Linked DNA regions of Sus scrofa. The protein of the gene in region 1 interacts with the protein of each later gene in a biochemical or structural test. Links are inferred from orthologs where the notes say so. Each region holds a gene or a part of one and is shown on either strand. Other genes may lie near its edges.

Evidence for each region.
Region 2: the proteins of PSTPIP1 (region 1) and PTPN18 form a complex in vitro, tested with the Homo sapiens proteins (2 studies listed by BioGRID and IntAct). The link is inferred for Sus scrofa from reciprocal best matches to the Homo sapiens genes PSTPIP1 and PTPN18.

Annotation. Positions count from the first base shown.
Region 1 is NC_010449.5:57,123,280-57,127,084, reverse strand, and holds part of PSTPIP1 (proline-serine-threonine phosphatase-interacting protein 1), read right to left. Parts: intron 3,652-3,805; exon of another isoform or gene 3,484-3,651; coding exon of another isoform or gene 3,475-3,483; intron 1,229-3,474; coding exon 1,128-1,228; intron 811-1,127; coding exon 736-810; intron 1-735. UniProt on the Homo sapiens protein: Involved in regulation of the actin cytoskeleton. May regulate WAS actin-bundling activity. Bridges the interaction between ABL1 and PTPN18 leading to ABL1 dephosphorylation.
Region 2 is NC_010457.5:31,963,608-31,968,165, reverse strand, and holds the start of PTPN18 (tyrosine-protein phosphatase non-receptor type 18), read left to right. Parts: upstream 1-1,594; 5' UTR 1,595-2,499; coding exon 2,500-2,592; intron 2,593-4,558. UniProt on the Homo sapiens protein: Differentially dephosphorylate autophosphorylated tyrosine kinases which are known to be overexpressed in tumor tissues.

The DNA.
Region 1 (3,805 bases):
TTCCAGGACACAGACTCTAGTGCCCTGTCTGCCCCTCGGCTCAGTCCTCACCCGGCAAGGAGCGTCCACACCTCCCACGGCAGCCCTTTCACTCCACTGTTAGAAAGTTCTCCTTAGCCGCCCTCGAACCATCACCGTCTCCCCTTCAGCATCCTCCCTCGCTGTCTGCAGCCAGGGGCCAGAGAAGCTCAGCTGCTTCACAGAGGCACTGCCCTCACTGCCTCCCCACTGAGCCAGGCCTGAGCGGAGCCCTGGACCCAAATAACCCTCTGAGGACAGTTGTATTATCATCCTGCTTGAGGATGAGGAAGTAGAGGCGCAGAGTGTCACTGTCAAGGTCACCGTCAGGGTCACACATTTAATATGGGTGAGGAGTTGCCCCCGCCCCATCTCAGGCCACACCTCCCTCCTGGAAGCCCAAGGAGCCCAACACTGCCATTCAAGGCTCTCAGGGCTCGGATGGAGGCCGCCCAGGCTGAGCAGGCTGTGCTGCAGGCACCTGAGGACAGATGACCTCCGCCCCCTGCCCAGGGCCTCCTTGCCGCTCAGACTGCTGGCTTGTCTTCCCCCCACCCACCCACAGGGCCCGATTCCCAAAGGGTGATCCTCCAGGCACCCCTCCTCTGGCTGCGCACTCCCCCTGCCACCCACCAAGCCCCGTCCACCTCATGCCCAGAAGCCCTAAACCCCGTCCAAAAGCCCAGAAAGTGCCTGGCAAAGCAGAAGGGCTCTTACTTGATCTCCGTCTGGCCACCTGCCTTCCGGGCGATCTGCACCAGCTCCTTGCCGTACCGCTCCTCCGCCTGGGCCCTGCAAGGACAGCACAAGTGCTGTGTCTCCTCCACTTCTGCCATCCTGACTCAAGACAGCTGGCTGCAGGGGACCTGAGCGTCCACCTGCTCAGCCTCTGGGGGCTGGCTGGCCCTGTGGGCTCCTCCTTGGGAAGGTTAAGCCCCCAGCCCTTCTCTAGATGAGTGTTGGCCAAACACAGGCAGATCTGAAGGAACATCAGAACACATGCCCATGTCAGGGAGGCCCAGGTTGGGACGAACAGGACAGTCACACTCCTGACACAGATAGCTTCTGGGTTGCGGGCTCGGCCACATCCCTCCCCGCCCAGGGCTCACCTCTGCCTCAGCAGCTCCTCCACGTCCTTGCACATCTTCCTGCCATCCAGCAGCCGCTGCAGCAGCACCTCGTAGCCTGTGTGGGCCGTGAAGTCCCTGCACTGGAATGCAGGACAGAGGGACGTGAGGGTCACAGCAGGGCTGCGCAGGTTGGGGACACTGAGTACAGCTTGGCGAGGACCCCTCTCTCCAGCCTTGGGAAAACTGGTCTATCTCCCCCATTCAAGAGCAAGCTCTTGGGGTTCAGGACCTAGTTTCACACAGCACACAGTAGGGGCCCCTGTCTGTGGAGGTACCAGGTGTCAGTGGGCCCCGCGTGGATCAGCGCTCACAGGCCAGGACAGAGCAACCCTAACCTAGGACGGCCATGGGAAAGGCCCCCACAGAGGCCCCGTGATGACAGCCTTATGGGGTGCCTGGCACTGCTCCCTCCTGTCACCTTCTCAATTACCCAATTACTCAGGTGTCCAGGTGAGAAAACTGAGGCGCAGCTGGGTGACGTGTACCGGGGGTGACACAGCTTGAACGTGGCAGGCCTGGCACTGAACCCAGGCTGTCTGGCTCAGGTCTACGCCCTTTCCTTGACACTATACAGCCTCTGTGGAGACAACAGCAATTGCTGTTCCTGATCCACCACCATGTGGCAGACGCCACCTCAGCCTCACTCTGTGGGCTCAGGTGATCCTCCTGTACCCACCTGGAGAGGTGTGCACTGAGGGTCAGGACCAGGGCACACCTAACACGCACTTAGGACACACCCAGGACACTCTAGGTCCACCTCCTAGCCAGGATGGGGGGAGGGGGCATCCTGGGGATTTCTCGGGACACAGCCGCCTCTCTGCCGCCTGGACGGCTCAGACCGCTCAGCCCATCCTGTTCCTCCTGATCATTGGACTCTCTTCTCTTCACCCCCGGAATGGATTCTGAGCTGCTGGCGCAGGAGGTTGGTGGGCAGGAGGTACTACTTGAGGACTATGAGGGGACAGAGTGTCTCCTAGGACCGTCCTAGTCTAGGGAGTGGGTCCTGGGGCCAGGCAGCCCCCTCCTGGCTCACCCCAGGCACTTTGGGGGAGAAGCAAGCAGAGAGGTGGGGAGAGTGGAGCTGAGAGCAGGGCTGTGTGCCTCTCAGCCTGGCTCCCATCCAGTCTCCAGGAAGGAAAACCCCGCCCCCACACTGCCAGGCAAATGCAAATTGGGGGCAGCCTAGAGAGATTCAGCACCTAGTCTGCCTGTCCCTCCCCACAGACCCCTGAAACTTCAGAGACTGGGGAAAGGAGCCCCCACTTCCCTGACCACACAGATCACAGCCCCATTTTCAGAGCTTAGCGAATCGGCGGGGCTTTTTCTCAAGGCCACACACACTTGGGGAAGGCAGGTCTGACCCTTCTCAGAGTCAAGGGTCGTTGATGCTCCTTTCGCTGCCCTAAGCCTCCCCTCACAGTCTCAGTAGTGGGCGTTGGGGGGAGAGGCAGGGAGGAGTCTAAATCAAGGAGAGCTTCCCGCAGGAAGAGGCATTAGAAAGGGGTTCTGGGAAGAGAAGGTGTTGTTCTTCAAGGTCTAAGAAGAATCAGAGGTAAAGAAGGGCAGAGATGCCACAAACTGCCCCAACTGGCTCCATGCTGGGCCCAGCCCGCCTTCAGCAAACTCAGAAAAGTTGAATCTCCAGGCCTGCAGCGCACTTAGGCCACCAAGCTCACACCCTCCTCTGTAAGCAGCCCCAGAAATTCCTAACACCCAGGAATTACCCATGGCTCAGGGTGACAAGCAGCAGGCCGGGGCCTCGGCTCGCTGCTCAGGGCCCCAGCACGAGGCACTCATCCCCCTAGCCCCTGCAGGCCTGTCCACTCCCATGTCCAAGCTGGTGAAGCTGGGCCAGGCTTCTGTCTCGGTGGCTTTCGTGGGCCACTTGCCTACTAACCAGCCAGCAGACCACAACTTCCTGCCCCTTGGCCCTCCCTCCGGACCCCCAGGACAAAAGCCCATAGCAGCCAGGGAGGAAAACGGATCTGGAGACTCGGCCTCCTGCCCTGGCCCTGAGCTGAACACCAGCAGTCAGGGCCGGACTCCACAGACCACCAGCCGGGAAGCACCTTGCCCAGTGCCCTGCAGTCCCTGGGGAAACAGGGGCCCAGAGTAGGGAAGGACTGCAGGGCACCTGCTGTGACTCCACGATGGCTCGGGGTGGGGGCGGGGGGGAAACAGAGCAGGGAGATGCTGACAGAGCCCAGCCCTGCAGTGGACGCCCGGCTCTTCCCTCCCAGCCCCACACCCTGACTCCCCAGGGGAAACCCTCCATCCTGATTGAGACCCCCAGAGGGCAAAGCAAAGCAAACAAACCCAAACCTACATTGGCCATTCTGGAGGAGGAAGCGGGCAGAGGGGTCCTGCAGGCTGGGTCCCCAGGAGTTCAAGTCCCCAAAGTACTGCTGGCTCCAGAATCTTGTCTGGTCTCTGCTCAGAGCATGGTGGTGCCAGCGGGGCCTTTGGCCCGTGAGCTGTCATCATAAGTGACTAGACTGTTCCAAGGAAGTGCCTGACTCCCTGGGGGCTGCTCCCAGCCAGGCTGCACACCCACTGCCCCCCTGCTGCCCGCCTCCTCCTTGGGGCGTGGGTTCTGACTCATGGCTCGGAGCTGGGCAGAGTCGGGCTCAGGAAGCTGCTGAGGAAATGAATCGACC
Region 2 (4,558 bases), on another chromosome or scaffold:
AAAGGCTTGCAGACAGACACATAGCCACCTGGTAAGACAGATTTCCAGGTAGAGTCCTAGGGCGAGACAAACAGACCACAGCAGGACAGCCAGGCAGATTCTTGGACAGGCATCCAGAAAGACCTGTGTCCCTCCCACCCCACTTCCAGCCAGCCAACAGACAATCACTCAAGAACAAACAGAGGGCCCTGCCACTGGACAAAGATGTTACTCAGTGGAGAGACACCCCACTATGCAGTCAACTAGCTAGCCAGACCTTCAGCTTGACAGACTTAAGCTCTGCCAGGAAGACAGACCCAGCCTACAAGAAAGTCAAGCCCTCTGGACAGACAGATGCCCCCCCAAGCCAGGGAGAGAGTAGTCATAATATATCCCATCCTGTTGGGCAGACCCTTAGCTGGAAGTGGAACACAAGATACCCAGCTGGCCAGAACCCTTTTGCTGGGTCAACCACCCTGCCTCCCTGTCACCACCATAGATGATATGGTGGCTCACTGACTCAGTGTTGCCTCTGATCCCCAGATATCACCGGTTTCCAGTGACCATTGCCATCCAATGACATCCACCATGAGCAGGGTCCATAAAGGCCTTTTGTGCTCCCACGGTGGCTCTCCCCCACCCCTTTACTCTGGTATCCACTACCCCCAAGTGACTGCCATTAGTGTCCATGAGGACTCAAAGATTTGGGTCTCTGGCTTCTCCAGTGAGCCTCAAAGTCTGCTGGTATTTCCATGTCTTGCAACCCTGTGTCTCCAGCAGCCATCCAAGAAATCTCTGATCCCACTGACATTCACTATCAGCCCTGAATAGGAGTCCTCGATGACCTTCCCTGACTCTTTTGACACCTCAATTACTTTAACATTCCAAGTCCCAGTGGTTACTTTCAGACTCTGACCTCCCAGTGACCGCTGCTGACATCTATGGATAGTCTGTGTGAATACCTTCAATGAGTTCACTATCAATGTCCATCCTTGGTGATCACTACTGACCCCCTTTGAACTCTCACAGGTGATGGTGATAAACAGTCAACAGTGATTTCTACTAATCGCTCAATGAGAGAAACACTGACCTGCTTTCACCTCAGTCACTTAAACTGGGATCAGAAAACCACAGCCTGCAGACCACCAAAACTTTTGTGACAAAATTTCAGTGCCCACGAAGTTTGCAATACAATCACACTCATTCCTTTACATATGCCTTTACATATTTCACAAGGCATGGCAGAGTTGAGTAGCTGGGACAAGGACAAGGTTTCTTAAAGAACCCAAGCCCTTTAAGAAACAGTTTGCCTGTCCCTGACTTAAACAGCACGCTAATGAACTTTATCCACACCCCTTACCCTTGAGGTGAGGGGTGGATGAGCCCATCTACACTGGCGGGTCCTTGGGAAGGGGGCAGGCTCCTCTCTGCCCTCTCCAGCCTCTCTTAGGGGCTGTATACTAGCTTTCACATTTTTAAAGACCAGAGTGTAGTGCAAATAAAGCTGCTGAAACTGTTCCTGTTGTGGCTCAGCGGCTTGCAAACGGTCTAGTATCCACTAGGATGCATGTTTGATCCCTGGCCTCAGTGGGTTAAGGATCTGGCATTGCAGAGAGCTGTGGTATATAGGTCGCAGACGCAGCTGGGATCTGGATCTCGTTGCTGTGGCTTGGCCTAGGTCGGCAGCCACAGCTTCCATTCCACCCCTGGCCTGGGAACTTCTATATACCGCAGGTGCGGCCATTAAAAAAGCAAAAACAAACCAACAAAAGACACAAACAACTCTTTTAAAAGCGTGGAGAACACCTAGTCCCCTGAACCCACTTCCAGGCCTCGGTACTCATTTTCCAATAAGGTTTATGTGAGTTGAGATCCTCAAATTTGGACTGGATTTTGGCGTCCTCAACTCTTCTTTGCACAACTCAGAAAAAGAAGCAATCTTAAGAAATACAAGGATTCAGCCCCACAGCCCAGGTGCCCGGGTGTCATTTTCCCCTGCGGCTACCTCCCCCGACCTCTCTCGGACCCCGCCGGAGTGCACAACGCGGGACGGTCCCCACGCGGGGTCCGCCAGGCACAAGTTGCAGCTCAAACTAGGCGACCAGCTCCACCCACAGCTGCCGCACCACCCCTTCTCGGATCTGGACAAAACCTAGCTCCCAGGACACCAGGCCGGGTGAAGGTTCGCTGTCATGCATGCCCCGGCGCGGACTCCCGGGTCCGAGGAAGGAGGTGTCCCTGGGATCGTGCGGACTCAGCCAAGCCCGCGCGGTGGCCACAAAAAACGGAAGCGCCGGGGCAGGACAAGTTTTTGGCCCAGCAGCGGGTCCTGGAGCCTGTGGGCGGGGGCGGGGACAGGCTCTGAGGGTCTTTGGCTTAGGGGCGTGTCCTGCCCGTCGCTGCGCACTTCCATTAGCTGGCGAGATTGGAGGCGGGGCCTCGGCATCCTCCCACGGAGTCTACACTAGCTAGGAGCGCGGAGCGCTGCAGCTGGACGGGACCTTGCTGGCCGGCGGCGCCATGAGCCACAGCCTGGACGCGGTGCGGAGCTTCCTGGAGCAGCTGGAGGCGCGGGGCGGCCGGGAGGGGGCGGTCCTCGCCGGCGAGTTCAGCGTGAGTGGGCGAGTGTGGACGGCGGCGCGGGCTTGCCCTGGACGATCTGGACGTTTGTTCTTCTGTGCGCTCTGCTGCGCTTTGCCTCTGTTTCTGGCGTGCAGGGGCGTCTCCTCGCCTCCAGGTCTTTTTCTCTCCCCAGCACCTCTCTCTGTCGCAATCTCTCCCTGTCTTCACCGTCTGGTCCGCAGAGCCCCGGAGGGCGAAGTCCACTGCTGGGCTGGGCGGGGCCGCACACGCCCTCGGGTCCTGGAGCCCTCGCTTCGCTCCCGGAACCATCCCGTTGTTGGGCAGGCTGGGCGGGGGAGGGCGGGCGTGCACCTGTGCTGGACGCGCGACACCCGGCCGCTCCTGATGACCCGGAGGTCACTCCTGTGGTCCTGGGGAAGAAGGGGCTAGGGGAAGAGGAACCAAGAGGCCCCGCTGCGGCAAGGGTGTGGTCACCAGCTCAGATAGGCGCTGTGGCCCCGGGGGGTTTTACCTACCCCCTCTGGCCTCGGTTTCTCCTTGGGTGAGTAGCGGACGTTGATGACTAAACTGACCTGAGGATTAAAATAACCAGTGTGGGTAAAAAGCGCTAAGCACATCCTGAGAGCTCACTTCACAGACGACTTTGTCACTAATGGTAATATTCGAAACTTGACAATGGAGTAATGCAAGCTATACGCATGGAGTGGTGATGCAGTAGCGTCATGGGCATCACATACTACACGTGCTAAGATGTTTTAAATATAACATAGAAACGTGCTGTGCAAATATGTAAACACAATATATGGTGACATATCTCAAATTTAAAAATAAGTTTAACAAATATATGTGTATAAGCATTAATAAATGACTAGATAATCATTAAGTACAATAAAAATTGCTAACAGAATCAAATTAATGAAATTAATACATATAACATCTATAGTGAATCTGTATAAATATGATCATACATTATAATTTTCATAGCATTAAAGTTCATAAGGAGTCCCCATCGTGGCGCAGGGGTTAATGAATGCGACCAGGAACCATGAGGTTGCAGGTTCGATCCCTGGCCTTGCTCAGTGGGTTAAAGATCTGGTGTTGCTGTGAGCTGTGGTGTAGGTCACAGACTCGGCTCAGATCCAGTGTTGCTGTGGCTGTGGCATAGGCAGGCAGCTACAGTGCCAATTAGATCCCTAGCCAGGGAATCTCCATATGCTGCTGGAGCAGCCCTAGAAAAGGCAAACAAACAAACAAAAAGTTCATAAAACAATAGAATAAACAAATACAACATGGAATTTACAAAATAAGCAGTTATTCAAATTCCTAAGTATGTGACAAATAGATAAAAGAAATATACAGATATAAAAATAGATGTTGTATATAACAAATGTGTAATAAACAAAACATGTAATTTATTCAGTATGAAAATGTACATAGTAAATATAAACACATAATACCCAGGTGGTACATGTCATCATGCCCATCTGGGTCTGGGTCCAGTCTGGGACAGTGAGCAGTGCTGAAGACCCCTGTGCAGAAGGCTAGGTGGTGAACAGTGCCAGTTGCTGGAGGCCACCCTCCTGCCAGCAGTCTCCTGCACTCACAGGAATCTTTGGGTCTCCCTAGGCTTTGGTTTTTTCATTTCTACCGATAGTAGAAATATCGGTAGTGGTACCCACTGCACTAGTGTGTCCATGGGATTTAAATGACCTGATGGGTGTAAGTACACTGGGCTTGCACCCAGTGGTGGCTTTGTAGGTGTTCCTTATTATCATGATTATAAATACCTGATGATGATGGTAATACAATTCACTAATTATAAAGATCTAACAGTAGTAAAACAGCTACAGTGTCTAGTTTCACAAGTCATTCATGTACATTGTATATTGTCCTATATATTGTGTATCATCATGTTTTTTATATTAACTACATAATATATTACAATTATTGTTCACAACACAAAGTAATACATTTTGAGTGTACAGGGGTTAGATAC